2 linked regions of the Oryzias latipes genome follow. The protein of the gene in region 1 interacts with the protein of each later gene in a pairwise test. Links are inferred from orthologs where the notes say so. Each region holds a gene or a part of one and is shown on either strand. Other genes may lie near its edges.

Evidence for each region. The genes of interacting proteins can lie anywhere in the genome.
Region 2: the proteins of siah1 (region 1) and upp2 interact in binary tests that used the Homo sapiens proteins (3 or more experiments, as listed by UniProt). The two-hybrid records come from large-scale screens. The link is inferred for Oryzias latipes from reciprocal best matches to the Homo sapiens genes SIAH1 and UPP2.

The regions. Positions count from the first base shown.
Region 1 is NC_019864.2:25,286,461-25,290,210, reverse strand, and holds the start of siah1 (E3 ubiquitin-protein ligase SIAH1), read left to right. Parts: upstream 1-955; 5' UTR 956-1,878; coding exon 1,879-1,996; intron 1,997-3,505; coding exon 3,506-3,562; intron 3,563-3,750. UniProt on the Homo sapiens protein: E3 ubiquitin-protein ligase that mediates ubiquitination and subsequent proteasomal degradation of target proteins.
Region 2 is NC_019879.2:20,678,841-20,682,555, reverse strand, and holds upp2 (uridine phosphorylase 2), read right to left. Parts: upstream 2,596-3,715; 5' UTR 2,324-2,595; coding exon 2,271-2,323; intron 2,190-2,270; coding exon 2,075-2,189; intron 1,985-2,074; coding exon 1,826-1,984; intron 1,705-1,825; coding exon 1,590-1,704; intron 1,444-1,589; coding exon 1,234-1,443; intron 1,144-1,233; coding exon 997-1,143; intron 915-996; coding exon 772-914; 3' UTR 563-771; downstream 1-562. Other genes in the region: ccdc148 (coiled-coil domain-containing protein 148), read left to right, coding at 51-194; uncharacterized protein C7orf57 homolog, read right to left, coding at 3,370-3,454. UniProt on the Homo sapiens protein: Catalyzes the reversible phosphorylytic cleavage of uridine to uracil and ribose-1-phosphate which can then be utilized as carbon and energy sources or in the rescue of pyrimidine bases for nucleotide synthesis.

The sequences.
Region 1 (3,750 bases):
GTGTCTGGGTACCAAGTGACCCTTTGCCCAGAAGAGACCCCCAACCTAAGGAGTCAGGTTGTTCCTATGAGTGGTCTGGTCGAGGGAACAGCTGATGTTCTACAGAGTTCTCCGGTCCTGCTGGAACTTTATGAAAACTTGCTGTGTCGATGACATTTAGTCCCTTTTGTGCTTCTTTTTTTTTGTATATTAGCTTAAGAGCTGAATTTGTAAAAAGAGTTGGCACGTTCAAAAAGCTTTTTTAGATTAAGCTAATGCAGTCTTGTTAAAAGTATTACTTAAAATCAGAATTCAGGGTTTCTGCGTTGGCATAAAGGAAACTTTAATGTGCACTGAAGCCAAGATGTTAAGATGTAGCAGGAGAATTGTTTTCTCACAACACTGTCTGCTAGCCACTGGCAGGTTTGACTGCAGACCTCCCAAAAACTGCTGCCTGAACATCCAGACAGAGATTTTGAAAGCAGACACGCTCCGTCTTTGATGCAGCTGCAGACGTGTTTGATCTCTTATCAGATTTGTGAAAATAACTGAGTCTGAGGGGGCGAAAAAATCCTTCCGGCTTAGCATACGGTGGGCAAGGAATTCCACAGATTTGGTCCATGTGGAAATGAAGCACAAAGAAAAGCTTCTCCTCTTTGTCCTCTCGTGAGCAGATGTTGACTCTGGGATGTGCTGCATCTTCAGCATCGATGCTCCGAACGGTAAACGCTGAGCGAGCTTTTCACATACCTAGAGTGCTTCTCAAAAACAGGAAGAGCACTTTGAGAAGGTGAGACGCTGCTGTAGAGTGTGTAAGTAAGTTATGCTGAAGAGCAAATGTGAGCCAGAGAACGCAGCCCTGTGTTCTCTGGCTCACATTTAAAACGTGGACAGAGGAGAAACGGGCTGCACTAAAGGAGAAAGGAGGTATGAAGTCAGAGGGGTCAGCTGGTGCTGCAGCTTACAGCTATACCAGCTGAAATCTGAGACTTGCACAACCACAGTGAGGCGGAGGGAGGGGGCAGAGGGAGGAAGAATGTCCAGCCTGGAGAAAGAAGGCAAACTGCAGGCTTTCAGAGGACACGAGGCTGCAGGAGCAGCAGGGAGATGCAGCTGGAGCTGAGCTGAGACATGTGAGGGCTGAGCCTGCAGAGACAAAGATAAAGACTCGCGCTGGATGCGGACTTTAGCTCTGTGTTTCAGACAAACACAGCCAGTGGCGCTGACACCGACCACGCTCCCCAGGACAAAGAACATCACTGAAATCCAAACCGAGAAGAAAGTGAAGGGGGAGACTTCACACTGGATTTTTTTCTTCTTCTTTCATTTCCTCTCGGGGAGCCAAGGTTAGGTTTCTGAGCTGGGGCTCTCTTGTTTTGAGGATTTTTCTTTTGCAAACTTGCACTTTTTTTTGACTCCTCTTTCTATACCTGCTAACCAACCGCCCCGTGGAATGTCAAATAGTTCCTGAGTGGAGAAACTGGATAATTACCCAGTGTTGGTGAAGCTCTAATGACTCTCCTAAACTGCCTCCCGTTTCCTGTGCAGACTGGCGAGTTGATTAACCCTTTAGCCTGCCTGGCTGCTGTCCGGGCTCCTTCTGTTGCTTCTGCAGTGGAGTCGCTCAAACACCCTGGACTCTGACGTTTTCCCGCTGTTAAGGATCTGCTGGTGTTTGTTTGGACACAACCCTCGTTCTGGATCTGCTGCAGAACTCCAGCCGCTCAGAAGCTTGTACTTTCCAAGGGGAGAGGGGTGGGGGCGGGGGCGGGGGTGGCAGGAGGGGAAATATGATCCAGTATTTGGAGGAATGCGTAGAGCTCCAGCAGCAGTGTGTGGTTTCCATGGAAAAGGCCTGAGCAGCGTGGCACAGAGGGGCTGCATACATGCTTTACCTCTATGTCTGTGGTCCAAGTGAAATCCAAGCAGACAAGTGTAGCTCCACAAGCTCCACCCTGGAACTCCCTGTTCAGGCTGCTCTCATGCGTAGCAACCAGGAATGTGCACAACACTAAAGGTGAAGCGCGTCGATCCTCACCAGCTCCATGTTTCTGCCCAAGGTGGCTTGAATTGGCACTTTGTGTGCAGGGGGCCGTGTTGGCACACCGATGCTGTGCGTGACGTGGGCGAGCACAGAAGATGCTTTTAACCGTTTCCCTGCGTACATTATGTTGCACTGTTTTAACGTGGATTAACGTTTGTGTTGAATCCCCCTTCACCTGTCCTGATGTTCCTCTGTTTAGTTTTGTCATTCAGGATATTTAATTTCTTATCATAGAAGAGAAAAGGGAACGACGGGAATGTTTTCTTCACAAATAGCACTTTTGAACATTTATTAAAACTAATTTGCTTTTTAAATATTCATTTTGTGTGTTTATGTTTTGGTCCTTTAAGGGCCTATACCAGGCTCTTCTTAAGCCTTTTATAGTAAAAAATATATATATCCATGTATATGATGATATATTTTGGGACACAAAAGAACATTTCTTTTAAAATTAAATATTAGTTATTTTCCTGAGTTCTTTTCCAATCAGGAAGTAGGACGACTCCATCTCTGAGGCTCCGCCTCTCGCTCTGTGATGCACAAAAGATGTTCTTGTTTTCTGTCAAAAGATTCATCACATAGTTGAAGGATTCAATATATACAAAAAAATGTACAATTTGTATTTACTCAACATTGTATTTAGGTTTCTGCTTGGTTTCTTAAATAACATCAATTAAAAATAATAATAATTTCCAATCTTTTGAGAAAAATATCCAATCTCTTAATTAATGAAACTATTTCTAGATTATATTTCTTCAGCTTCTAAAAGGGAAATGGTTTTCTTTTGCGATGCGTTTAAAGATTGTTGAGCCTCCATGAGGTTCATGGAGGCAGAAGCTGTTGGTGAAACAGACTTTTTGGTCTGTTTGCAACCAAACCATTGGCAGAACAAAGACAGGAAGATGTTTATGGTTTATGGTTTCCTTCATCGTTGGTGTTCACCTTCACGCCCCGAACCATCGATGGTCTTATCCGTCTACCTGTTCCCACACCGTAGCCCTGTTTTCTGCCTATGTTTGTAGACGAGACGGTTTATGTGGAGATGAATTTTTAGTTTCAAAAAGCAGCTTCCTGTGTTTGCGAGTTCTGTTTCCACACAGAAGGAGACATTGTACGTCGTTTTAACAGAAACCTCAAATCAAATGTGATGCAATCGTGTCCAGGAATAATTTGCTTTGTGTAGATTTTGTTCAGCTGAAGACAAACGGGTTTCACTCGTCAACCTTTAGTCCAGAAATGGACCAGACTTACTGAAATATGAATGAGTGGCTCTGCAGCAAAGCGTCCACACAGCAGAAATCTAAAGTGAGCACGCTCTGTGTCCTGCCCATCAAACACCGCCTCGGCGCCATCCGGCCCTCACGTCTGCCGGAACATCACAACAATCCGAGCCCACTTCTGTGTCTGACTGGAGAACAAAGCAGAACGTTCAGAACCAGCCTGTCGGGTTCTCATGTGCACTTCCTTTGTTTTCTCTTTCAGAGGTCCAAACATTTCAGGAGCAGACAGAAGCCTTATTTGGAAATCTTATGGACGAAGGTCAGTCTGTCTTGTCTGTCAATCTGTCTGTCTGTCTGTGTCTGAGTGGATCTGTTGGGGATTTGCTTTACATTTACAGGATCGATGGCAGCTTTGTTGGTTTTCCCATGTCTGCTGTAGTTTTGTGTGTGTGGGCTCAGACCTTTCTGTCGGGCTGATCAGCCGTCCCGCTGCAGGGCCCGGCCCAC
Region 2 (3,715 bases), on another chromosome or scaffold:
TGCAAATAAAAGCTTAATTTACTGTGGCTCTCCAAATGTCTGTTTTACAGATTGTGTCTGATCCGAGAGTGCGGGTCGAGCAGGCTCTGCGGGAGGCTGGACTGCACCAAAGTCATTACGCCACAAAGGTTCTGTCTGAAATCAAACCTCTCAAGCCGCCTCGACGAGACACCAAATCCATGTTTAAGTTTTGATCATTTTGTATTTAAGTCAAGTCTGAACCTGTCTTGGCTCTGTGCATTCAGTATTTACACACATTTATTTTATTTAGTGTGGGAAAACCCACAGATAAGCTCTGTTCATTTATCATAAAAAAGCAGTGCAGCTGCCCAACAAGTGATTTTCGTTTCGTGCTCAGATACTGGACATGTTTATTTTAAAACTTATATTTGAGATGCATGGTCCTCTCAATCCAGTTTTACTGAACAGTTTGTTTTACTAAATGTTAGAACTCTAAATAAAGTTAATTCAGGAATGAATCAAGTTTATTTTATGTTTGTTGTGTTTGTGGTCTATGTGCAGTTTACAACCTTTGTAGTCATAGAAACCAGGCAACATAAAATCTTTTTGCAGATTTTTATTTGCTTTCATAAATATCAAAGGATTTAAAATAACATCTAATAAATCCAATATATTTGGCTTATTAAACAAATCATTTAAACTCTTAAAACTTAAATAGGTGCCCATTTCAAGTATCACTAATCAATTTTTGTTGTGTGTATTTACATTTTTAAATGTTACATATTTACAGCTGTTTAAATATCTGGGGCTTCAGGGAATAAGTCCGAGGCGTTTCTTGATGAAGTAAGCCACCAGGATTTGAGGTCTCTGCTGGTACTCCACCAGAACCTCATGAGAAGAGGTGATCTGATCTCCTTCAAAGCGGTTCAGTAACGTGACACAGACCACAGCAGCTGAGGGGGGGAAGGATCAGTGATAGGTCAGTTGTCATGCTGTTCAGATCATGTACAAACAAAAACTGCACAGGAGTTTTACCTTTGAGGCCACAGACCCGGCACATGGCAGCAAAGACGGTGGACTCCATCTCGATGTTTCTCACTCCAGCCTCATAAGCTTTCCTTAGATACTCCAGTTTCTCCTCATGAGAGAAAGAGCAGAGAGCTCCATCAAGCCGGCCCTGACCTGGAGAGCCACAGAGATTGACTTGTTAGTAAAGGGGCGGGAGACTTATTCCCAAATGGGACTGAAATAAAAACAGTTTTTTTTCAGTACCTTCATAGAAGTCATGGGTGCACATGGTCTTTCCAATAACAGTTGGAAAGCTCTGAAGTTCAGAGGCATACTGCAGAAGCTCACTGGCCACCTCTTCGTCCAACTCTGTACTCCTGGTGATGACCTTACCCAGAACCACTTGTTCAAATTGGGGGCAGAAAGAGTAGTCCACTGCTTTATCTGTTATTACCACCGTCCCTGGATTTAAACCTGGACAAGACGGCAACTGCTTATTTATTTTCTCATTTTTTGCCAAACCCAAGTTCCATCTACAATAGACATGCAGTAAATTTGACATATAGACATAAATGCTAGGTTTACTGGTACTTTTAATAAAAAAATTAAAAAAAACATACCGACTCCTCCGGATGTTCCCAGACGAAACAAAACCACATCCTGGCACCGAGCATGATGCAGCAGCTTGATGAGCTCATGCAGCATGATTGAGATGGATGGGACGCCCATGCCATGCTGTCACGTCAAAATGCAGTAAATCAACTCAACAGCCATAAAACTCTCAGTTCGTACGCAAATAATAAGCCTACAAATCAGCAAATAGGTAGATCGTTCCTGTAAGCATGGACATACTTACACTTATAGAGAGTACTGGCCCCACTTTGTACATGGAGTAGCGATCAGTGCCCTCGCAGATATCCCGGATGTCGTCTGGGTTTCCAGGAATGTGTAGGTCTTGGTGGATGAAGTGGGCAAAAGCCTTCATTCGATTTGCGCTTCCACCAACACACACAAACTACAGAAACAGCAACAAAAGAACAATTAAACTCCGGTTTCTCTTCTCGTCTCAGAAGATTTAGGCTTAACATAGAACTCTTTTACAAACTTTGATATCTCCAAACATTTCTGGGAGGTTGTGAGTCTTAGTGCTCAGGCTGAAGTGGTACAGAATGTCCTCCTCCATGGTGTCAAGATAAGGATTTTTGACATGGACCTGTTGTCTGAGAGTGATGTTCTGGATAAATAGACGTTCACAAGTATATTTGAAAAAATATCACAATCTCACTTAATCCTTTACTTACTTGATGTAATCCTTGTGGTCTTTTCCCAAGCGGTTCAGAAGAATCAGTGCCATGGCAGGAGATGCTTTCAAGCAAAGGTTTTTAAAAAAAATGCTTTTACCAGTCTATGCAAAATCTGAGCCCCTGTCTGTGTGCCTTTTCAATCAAGAGACAGTTTTAACGGCTGACTTAATATACTTGTGACTCTTGACCCAACAGCTGATTGGTTGTGTAGAGAGGAGTAGTCAGCGGTCCCCGCCCTGATTAAAATGTACCGGCTCCAAACAAACAGAGCAAAAGCTACAACAAAAAATATTTGCACAAGGTAAAAAGTGATTTAAAAACCGCTGCAATTGGAAACCCCACATCCCATATAAATACTGCTAAGGTTAAAGATTACATACATGTTAGGAAAGTGTGTAATGTCCTGACATAAGTCAATAGGAGGCGAGAGGATATCTGACGTGATTTGACATAACTGACCAAGAGAACAGGCAGATGACCTGCGATTGAGTTTGCAGACATTTGGCAAATCCTCCAAAACATTGACATGCTCACAAAGTGAAATGAACAAACAAGCACTGATCACACAGAGTGCACACGCATGAAAGCACAGAAAGACGAAATTCCAAATCTTTAGAACTTTATTTGAAATTTTCTGCAAACCGGAACAATCCAGCTAAAAATATAACACATTCAGCATCTTTAGTAACAAGGCAAAGCAGATGAGACAAACAGCGCAAATGCTGCTGAGTCAGTCGACAACCTTAATCCTCTAAGAAATGCCGGTACAATATTTGACGGGACTTAACGAGAAAGAGGAACAGACATGAATGTCATAGGAGAAGACGGCGTGGTTTTGGATCTGGCAGACCTCCAGACTGTTGAGGATAAAATGAAGCAGAGCAAAAATCATTAACTTCGCCTTTACAGCATAATTCACCAATATCTTTACATCAAGAGGTTTAGAAATCGCAGAGAGCTGAAATTATAGTCATTTTATTGGCTATTTGTTTATACTGCTCAGTAATCTGTGTCTGTTTCTTTTTTACAGCACTGAAAGCGTGATTAGCAAAAAGAAATGACAGTGTTTTGGGGTGTTTAGGGCTCCTTACTTGCATCATTGGATTGGGCTGTTGGCTTCAGCATAGCCAAAACTCAGAAGCTTAGACATGTCAACAGGTGCCGGCTTCTTGTCAAACACTCTGAAAAAGCAGAAAGTCATTTCAAATTGACTTCTTAGGTTCTTCTATTATCAGACACGGTTCTGTTTTTTCACATATCTAGGTGTAATACAAGCACTATGAACTTTATTGAACTAGTCGTTCAAAATTGTATAGAAAATCCACTTTTTGCCTTTTTATGTAAATTAAATCAGTGGAAATATTTAGTCATTTCAAAATATAAATAATTATCTAAAGAACTGTGGCCAAAAAGACTACAGTGGTTACAGTTTAAACATCAAA